Sus scrofa: one gene and its partner. The protein of the gene in region 2 interacts with the protein of the main gene of each other region in a biochemical or structural test. Links are inferred from orthologs where the notes say so. Each region holds a gene or a part of one and is shown on either strand. Other genes may lie near its edges.

Region 1 (4,393 bases), on a different chromosome or scaffold from region 2:
CTCAATATCCTTCACTCATTTCTTGACAAACTTTTCACTGGATTCGTTTAACAAATGAACAGCATCAAACTATATTTCACTACCTGTCAACCTCCAAGCACTCAACTTAGAGACAAAAAGTGCTTGAAGCGCCAAATGGAAAGAAAATAAGGTTAACAGAGATACTTTAGAAGGGATGGCTTGGGGGAGGAATTGGATTCCTGAGCACCATCGGATTTCCCTTAACGTTCAGAGAGGTCTACAAAATCATTTTTAAAAGACATGAGATTAGAACTAGGGAATCAGAGGAACCCATAGTTTGAGATATTAAGCAGGTCATCAAAGTTCCTGGCAGAAGTGAAAAAAGGAGGGACAGAAAGTGGGAATGGGGAGCAGAGGAGAGGCAGAACAGAGACAGGAGAGAAGCACAGAGCAAGAACGTTGTACCTAGAAGAAAGAAAGTTTGGAATTCATCAGGAATTAGAAGAATGAAAAGCCATACCACAAATCCGGGAGCGGGACTACAAGAGAAAGCCTGGAGTTTTATACCTTCCAGGAGGTGACCACATACCCTAAAGCTGTACAATGGCAGGCAGTGAGGTGCATTCAAGACTACACCATCTGTTGTAAGACACATTGGCAATCTTGCTTGACTAATTCTACTCTACACTGCTGATGTAAATGCATTTGGTGCCCAGAAGGTAGCCACCCAAGCGGGTTACATGCCTACTGGCAATAGAGAAGGGCTCTAAGCCAAGTGGGTCTGTAAAAACCAAAATTCAGTTAATGTTACTGTCAAGTGAAGAGACAAAAGAACAGATTTCACTGTTCTACACCCTTTAGTGGTTTCCTAAAGCTAAGTCATTCTGATCACTTGTAAGAAGCTAGTATTGCCAAATACTGTACAAATAGGCTGTCTATAAGCAAAGCCCCAGGTTTTCCTGAGTCTTGACTGCTTCTGTGATTTGGAACGCAGTAGGTGGCATGGAAGCTTTGTTACTTTTTTGAGCCGTGGGTGAATGGGTGGGACCTGGGGATCAACAACTGCCTAACTATGTACGTAAGTAAACAAAAATGCTCCCAGTGACCAATTGGCTGTTCATAATCCCTCCTGCCAAAAAGTCATAACCTTCAGGCTCATGAAGCAAAACAAGATTCTGCTACTCAGATGCTCTGAATCTGGGACACGCTGGTTTTGATGATAATTTTAATCAGTTTTTACTTCCATCTTCTCAGGCTCTTCTGCCCAAGACTACTCTGTCCAGCAGGAAAAAGCTGCACACAAACGTTTCAGAGCTGTACCTTCCAAGGCGCCAGTCTCCCCATCCTCTTCAGTTGTCCACGTCCTCCTCTTCATTCTGTTCTTCTTCCTCCAGCCTTTCCTCATCTTCGTCGTTGTCCTCATCCCTGCTCTTGTCTTGCTCTTCTGAATCTGTTTTTTTGTCTTTGTCCTTCTTCTTTTGCTCTGAAGCTTCCTTCTTACCTTTCTGCTCCCTTCTATAAGCTGTAAGGATGAAGGAGGGAGTTGGGAGACAAGGCTGAACCAAACAGACTGCAGCCACTAATACCACTGCATAACTGGAAACACTGAGGCACAGAAGGAAAAATAACCTGCCCAGCATCACAAAACTGATATGAGGTAGTGCCATTTGAATCTCACCCAATACTTGCTTACTGGACCTAAAGGGACTCAAGCTAATGAAGACTTAGGGCCAAGTGAGCAGGTCATACAGGATGAACATCTACTTGGTTGAGTAAACGAAGAGGTCGTTACCTTCCAGAGCTTCTTTTAAGGGAGTAACGAACCGCTGAAACTCCATCTCCTCCATGGCTGAGAGAACATCGCTGGCATTCAGCGTCTTGCGTTTCCCTTTCATCGCGAAGTTGTTGGCGCTGAACAAGAAGATTAAGGGCTGTCAGAATCCTTCTTGGCCCGTATGCAGTGAGTGGGAAAAGGACGACCCAGAGGTGGAATGGAAATGCCCAAGTCTAAGATACATGGATTTTGGTGACACAGTAAGTCCCTCCCTTCCCTGTACAAAAGGGTAAGGCAAAGTTACTCTGTTTTATTTTGTTCCACAGCTTGCAATACCTGGATGAAGACTCTGAACCTCCCTCCACTGGGGAAGATCATAATTATTGGGGTTTGCGGGTTCTAGGCCGCGAACTCCGAACCAGGGGTGGGGGGGGTGTCTGCGTCTCCCTTAAGCCTCAGCCCCCAGCTAAGCTCTGGTTAGCTCTGCCCGCCTCACCAGGATGTGGCGTACAACACGAAGACGCTGGCGGCGCGGGAGATGGCGCTCCGGGCCTCCTTGGAGATGTTGACACCTTCCGGGAGCTGTGACAAGAGAGGGGGTGAGCAAAGCTACTGCCCCAGGACCTCTTTACCCTTGCCTGCTCGTCCGCCCCTGGCCCATCCGCCAGCCGGAGATGCTCACCGCCTCCTTGATGATCCTGGTGATGACGGCATTGGGCAGGTTTAGGTCCTCGGGCCTCTCCGCCATTGCCACGGCCGGAGCCGGCCTCCTCTTCAGGCCGCTACAGCGTCCGGACTTCCCGCGTCGCCACCGTCTGACCCAACGAGGCTTCCGTTCCGCCCCGTTTTGCCCACACCGTGTCCCACAGTGCCCCGCGCGCCATATCCTCCCTCCTCCCCCAGCCCCGCCTCCGACTGCAGTCGTCTGTTCATCTGAACTTTCCACGCCGCTAGTTTTAGCCCTAGGGGTTTCTATCAGGCCACAACGGCACCTGGCGCCCCTTCCCAAGCTCGCTTCCCTGCTTCACGCCACCACCTCGTCTGGAACTTGCTTAGCAAATTAAGTATGGCCTTCTGGGGCTTCCGTCCCTTTCCCATAGTGCTCTGCGCCGCTGCCTGGCAACGGTGCTGTCGGAGGCTGGCTTGGGAGACGAAGGCGTGGACTGAGCCGGCGGGGCGGGTCCCTTCGGAAGAGAGGCGGGACCTGGCGCTTGGCCCCGCTGCTGTCTTCACCGCGGGTTGAGGAGCAGCGTCTTCCTTGTAGGCTTCGGCTTCCTAGCCGCTTGGCCTCTGCTTTGGCTCCGCGGAAGCGCGGCCCTCCTTGGCCGGATTCTCCCACTTCCCTCTTCTGGAAGCAGGGAATCTTTATTGAACTCTCCAGGCCCTGATATCCCCTCTTAAATCTTTTCACCGCTCTCAACTTTGTAATAATGGTATTAAGGATAAGTGTTAACCTAAAATTTTTAATGCAGACTACTTTGTCAGTACAGTGTAGGGCTGGCAACAAAAAGATGGGCATGATTAGACCTTGGGGTTCACTTCGAGCTGGTCAGGTAACAAAAGGTCCATAAGCAGCCGGTTTTAAGAATAACATTCGCATTCAAAAACAAACCCTGTTAAACTTGTATTTATGTTTTAGTTCATTGACTTGATCATCGTTCATCTTTCCTAGTCAAAAGCATCAGCATGGTTTTACAATGGTCCCCCCCCCCCCCCCCGAGGGAGCGGTGGGGCGACCACTGCATATGGAAGTTCTCAGGCCAGGGATGGAACCTGCACCACAGCAGTGACTCAGGTGGGAGGTACCCTTAACACTCTGCGCCACAAGAGAAATACTGCATTGGCTTTTTAAGTTGTATCATTTTCATATTACGTAGTAGAAACTCTCCTCACTCCCACTGAACAGTTGTTTTCCTTGAAACCTGCTGCCTCAGGTCATGCTTAGTTTTCCTGTTTTTGATAGAAACATGAGTACAGAGAACTATTTCCCTATTATGAGAAAAACAACAGCAAATGCAGTGATAAATGGCAACTGAAACTCTTCTCTTAGAGAATATGGGGTTTGGTGGGGGAGGGCTCCACTTGACTAGAATACACATGGTTTAAAGATGTCAGGAGGTACACAGCTCCAGCCAGTGGCTGTCTAGTTGGAATTGGACCCCCCTTTGAGAGAACCCAGAAATCTGAACATTATGGGCTATTTCCATCTTTAAATAATGGCTCAAAGTGCAGGCCATACAAAACAAGTTATATGCCAGGTGCAATCCCAGGCCAGTAGTTTGCTATCTTTGGCTTATATTATAAACTCTTTAGAACTGGGACTTTTTTTGGTCATTATTGTTCTCTATGCCCATAACAGGTCCCTTCCCATATTTGGTGGTCAATAAATGTGTTGAGTAAAAGAAAGAGGAAATAGACACTTAAAAGTTTATTGCAGATAGGTGGTAGTGATTGTCTAAACATTTCTTTTTTTTTTTTTTTTGTCTTTTGTCTTTTTGTTGTTGTTGTTGTTGCTATTTCTTGGGCCGCTCCCGCGGCATATGGAGGTTCCCAGGCTAGGGGTTGAATCGGAGCTGTAGCCACCGGCCTACGCCAGAGCCACAGCAACGCAGGATCCGAGCCGAGTCTGCAACCTACACCACAGCTCACGGCAACGCC
Region 2 (4,364 bases):
ATAGTTAACTCCAGATCTGAGACGTGTCTGCAACCTACACAACAACTCCTGGCATTGCCGGATCCTTAACCCACTGAGCAAGGCCAGGGGGATCGAACCTGCAACCTCATGATTCCTAGTCAGATTCGTTTCCACTACGCAATGACGGGAACTCCTAAAATATTTTTTTAAGTTGTGAAACAGATTGTCAGATACGTTACACATGTATGCAGAAATCTAGTTTTTAACCAGTGAACTTCAATGATTTCTAAATTCAGTTAAGGAAAAAGAAGAGACTGAAGGTATTTTTTTTTTTAAGACCCCCCCCCCAAAATGAAAAAAAGAAAAACCACCCTATAATGTAAGGGAAAAAACAAAAACTAAAACTATTCAGTGAAAAGGTGGATAAAACTACTGATATTCCTATACTGAGAAGGTAAAAGATAACTAAATCATTCTTTAATAAATAAAAATTGTCAAACATCTTTTTTTAAGACTATGACAGGGCAAGATACGTGGGGAAATGGTCAGCTTCAGAGCCAGACCTGGGTTCTATCACAGGTTCTACTTACCAGAAGACTCAATTTTCTCATTTGGCAAATAAAAATACCACTGACTTCATATGGTCCTTGTTATATCCTTAATAATCATAGTTAAACTTTTATTCCACTTTAACTTTAAAAATAGCAACTGAAGCCAAAATATTCAGTTTAGGCTTTAAATTATTCTGCTTTCTGATTCTGTAACACCCCTAGTGAGACTGTGCTTGTTATTCCAAAATTTGAATGACAGCCCCCTTTGAGAAGCTGAGAACAGCAAAACATCAATTTGTTCAGAACGGTATATTTACATACAATTGCTTTCAATGTCAGACTTTCAAACCCCCTTAGGCCAGGAAGCAGGAATCCACGTTAACCCTGATAATTCAAAAAACGATTTAAAACCTAAAGAGAAAAATAGGCAACACCAGACAGGAATTTGAAACAAATCTCAAGACACCGAAAACTACAGAATACCAGAAGTCCTATTCTATCGAGGTCCACCTTCACCTAAAAGTTCTTCCAAAAACTAACGTGTTACTTCATCCTAGACTAGACCGCTGGGGCCCAAATAAAACTACTGCGCCAAATGCTTCAATGGTAAACCGCGCTACCATTTCCTTATTGCGTTAATTCTGCAGCAATGTTCATTTTTAAAGCAGTATTACCTTAGCTCAATCTATCTAAGGATGGAAAAGTCCCAGAAATCTCTGGCCTGCGACTATAACATATATCAAAACAGATCGAAAGCCAAGAATAAAATTTGGAAGGAGCAAGCAATCACTTTGTTCCCAGACATCGCAAAGCCTTGGAGCACACCCAAGAGACCCGCCTGGCTGTTCCCCAATCTTTCCACCCCCGCAGTATTGTCACCATCCCCTGGCCGGCCAACCCCAGCCCAGAAGGCAGGCTCCGCGGCAGGGAGGGGTACCAATTCTCAAATACAGGCCAATGCCCTACAGGAGTGCTGGTCTGAAAACCCCCAACCCCCCCCCAACCCCTGACTCACTAAATCATTCATCCTTCCATCCATCACCCCACCCCCAAATTAGATGGGGGTTCCAGACAGCTGCCGCTGCCTTGGTCGCTTCCCTCCCAATGGAACAGCGCCTGGGAGGAGCCTCCTCTCCCTTCACAGGAGCAGCTGCGCCCCGCTTATCCCCACTGCGCCCTCAGCCATCCAGCTCTCGCCATTGTTTCTGCCCAGAACAGATACCGCCCCCGCAAGGACCGGGATGAAGAAAAGGAGGCCCAAATCCTCGGATGCGCTGCTTTTAAATGCCTTCCCCACCCCGTCCGTCTACCCTCGTTCCTAAAGGGAAATCTCCCTCCCCCTCCCCCCAGGTTTAGTGGAAACTAAAATCGAGATTCAGAGATGGGCGAGGGAATTATGGGAGCCTCACTTAAAAAAAAAAGTCGGCAGATCCGTCTCGGCCTCAGTAATCAAGAACATGTGTCTAATAAGAGCGTTTGAGGATTTGGCAAGGTTCGCGAAAGAGACAAATAACGCAAATATGAGGTGCCAGAGACCCAGCTGAGTCTACTTGCATAGGTAAGCAGAAGGGCGCAAGGGAGAGCATCATTTCGGATCATCCAAGGGTCTGAGGCCGAGTTTGGGTGCAGAGGAGTGAAGTTCGGCTTCGCGTTTTATCACCAATACACAGCAGAGGGAACCAGTTCCTCCTCCCTATCCCGCCCTCTCCCCATGCCACAGGCCGTCCTTACCTCCATCTCGGAGTCCGTGGGGCCGGCGCCGGCCGCGGAGGGAGCCGCCGGGACGCCGAAGCCCTCGGGGCCGCCTTTGTTGCTGTTGTTGCTCCCGCTACAGGCGGCGGAGGATGCGGGCTTGGAAGGCGCGCTCTCGGGAGGCGGGGGTGGCGGAGGGTCGGCCGCGGACGACATGATGTTCCGTCTGCGTCACCCGCTGCTGCCAGAGGCCCGGCCCAGCAGGGATGAGGAGGAGGCCTAGGCCTGGGTGGCTACGTCGCAGTGAGCCGATGGAGGAGCGGAAGGACCACCCGAATGCTTCCTCTCCGCAGCTCGGCGACGAGCCCAAGCCAGGCCCAGGAGCCTCCCCCTCTAGCTGTCCTCCTCTTCCTCCCGGCTCTGGGTTCGACCGGCGCTTTACCTCACGGCGGGAATCACGTCGACGAGGGTGGGCGGGGCCACCCGGGTCACTGAGGTCAGAGAAGGCAGGCCGATTTACAGGAGGGCGGAGAGTTGGGGGAAAAAGAAAGGAAAGCAAGAAGGACCAAGACCAGGAACTAGCCTAGCCGCCTCCTCTTCTTCCTCTGGTAGATATCAGGTATCTCGCCAGCATCCAGGTCTACTACCTACGCCACCGACTTTCAACACTCGCGAGATTGATAGTTAGCTAAGAGACCGGGGTTTCAAAGTACGCATGCGCATTCTCTACTCCAAGCTCTTGGCCACGCCCCCTGTGCCCCTACGGGCTCTAGGGCGATGAGTGGGCGGGGCCTCAAAGGAGGGCTCGGAGACGTAAGTTTGTGCGTCGGTTTCCGGGCGTGACGCCACCGCAGTCTTACAGTCGTTCTTAACGGCTCGCTGTGCCGGGTCGCTGTGCTTCCCCAGCTTGGCAGTAATCCCAGCGCTGCTCGAAAAATTGCCCGGGTCTTGCGCCGCCTGCTGCAGCGTAGAGGCTTCTGCAGGCCTCTCTTTTACCGCCTCCGCTTATTGGCGTGACGCCACAGAGTTGACAATGATACGGTTTTCCCAGTTGACGTCTCACTGTTTTGTTGTCTAAGAAGAGTGCCTGTTAGTGTGATTTTTGTTTGTTTTGTCATCCTTATGTTAGCTATATGATTGATCATTTCTAAATTCCTTCTTCGGTAGAGTTAGACGATATTTCCTCTAAGTTTACATGCTAAAAGTAAGCAAACTGCGCCAACCACCATGTGAGAAACAAGAGTAATTAGCAGATAAGAAAGAGAGGTAATAGGTTATATCTTTTCCTCAACCACCAAATATTAAATAAAAACAGACATTCTTCTAAAAAAGTGTTACAAGTAATCACTGGTTTGTACATTGCTTTACGCTATGTTCAACACAGCCTTTTGCATCCACCTACTGCAGAATTTAAGCACATGGTGTTCTATTTGACAGCAAATCTGCATACTGCACTAAATTGTTATTTGCCCTGCATAGGCTCTTACTCATCTTTATATCCCCATATCCAATATTCTATTAGTACGTATTGAATAAAGGAGACAAACTTGTCAAGAGTCAAGGTTTGACCAAACCATTGACTATGCTGAATTACAAACAGAAGGGATTTCCTTTGAATATTTAACCTGCAAACTTTTAACCAATTCAATGATAATTCTTTGAGATCTGGAAGAATGTTCCCCAGCCTATTAGAAATGCCCTGTCTGAGACTCTAGGGAACCCCCAAGGATAGATAAAAAGAAAACTATATAAATGATGATCATCATCGTCTTTATATGTACTTGAGAAATGCTAGCACAATATAGTCCAACATTGAAAGTTTGATTTTAAAACTGTTGTATACCACAAAGTGAATTATTATTAACTTGTAACAACCAGACTGTAGAAAAAAGTTTATTATATAGTAGTAACTAAAAAATTTTAACAGTTCAAAAATATAGATAAAACTTTGGAAGGATAGTCCTAAAATTATTGAAAGTGATTGTTGTTGATGTATATTACCTAATTCATTTTTGTTTCTCTTTTTTTATTTTTCTAAAATGAGTTTGTGTATTATTATTTATTTTATTTTATTTTTTTGCTTTTTAGGGCTGCACCCTGGGTATGTGGAGTTCCCAGGCTAGGGGTCCAATTGGAGCTACAGCTGCCAGCCTACACCAT

The links.
Region 1: the proteins of SMARCA5 (region 2) and POLE3 form a complex in vitro, tested with the Homo sapiens proteins (2 studies listed by BioGRID). The link is inferred for Sus scrofa from reciprocal best matches to the Homo sapiens genes SMARCA5 and POLE3.

The regions. Positions count from the first base shown.
Region 1 is NC_010443.5:254,033,422-254,037,814, forward strand, and holds the start of POLE3 (DNA polymerase epsilon subunit 3), read right to left. Parts: upstream 2,804-4,393; 5' UTR 2,484-2,803; coding exon 2,418-2,483; intron 2,318-2,417; coding exon 2,232-2,317; intron 1,873-2,231; coding exon 1,754-1,872; intron 1,484-1,753; coding exon 1,311-1,483; 3' UTR 1-1,310. UniProt on the Homo sapiens protein: Accessory component of the DNA polymerase epsilon complex. Participates in DNA repair and in chromosomal DNA replication.
Region 2 is NC_010450.4:84,222,004-84,226,367, forward strand, and holds the start of SMARCA5 (SWI/SNF-related matrix-associated actin-dependent regulator of chromatin subfamily A member 5), read right to left. Parts: upstream 2,941-4,364; 5' UTR 2,421-2,940; coding exon 2,244-2,420; intron 1-2,243. UniProt on the Homo sapiens protein: ATPase that possesses intrinsic ATP-dependent nucleosome-remodeling activity.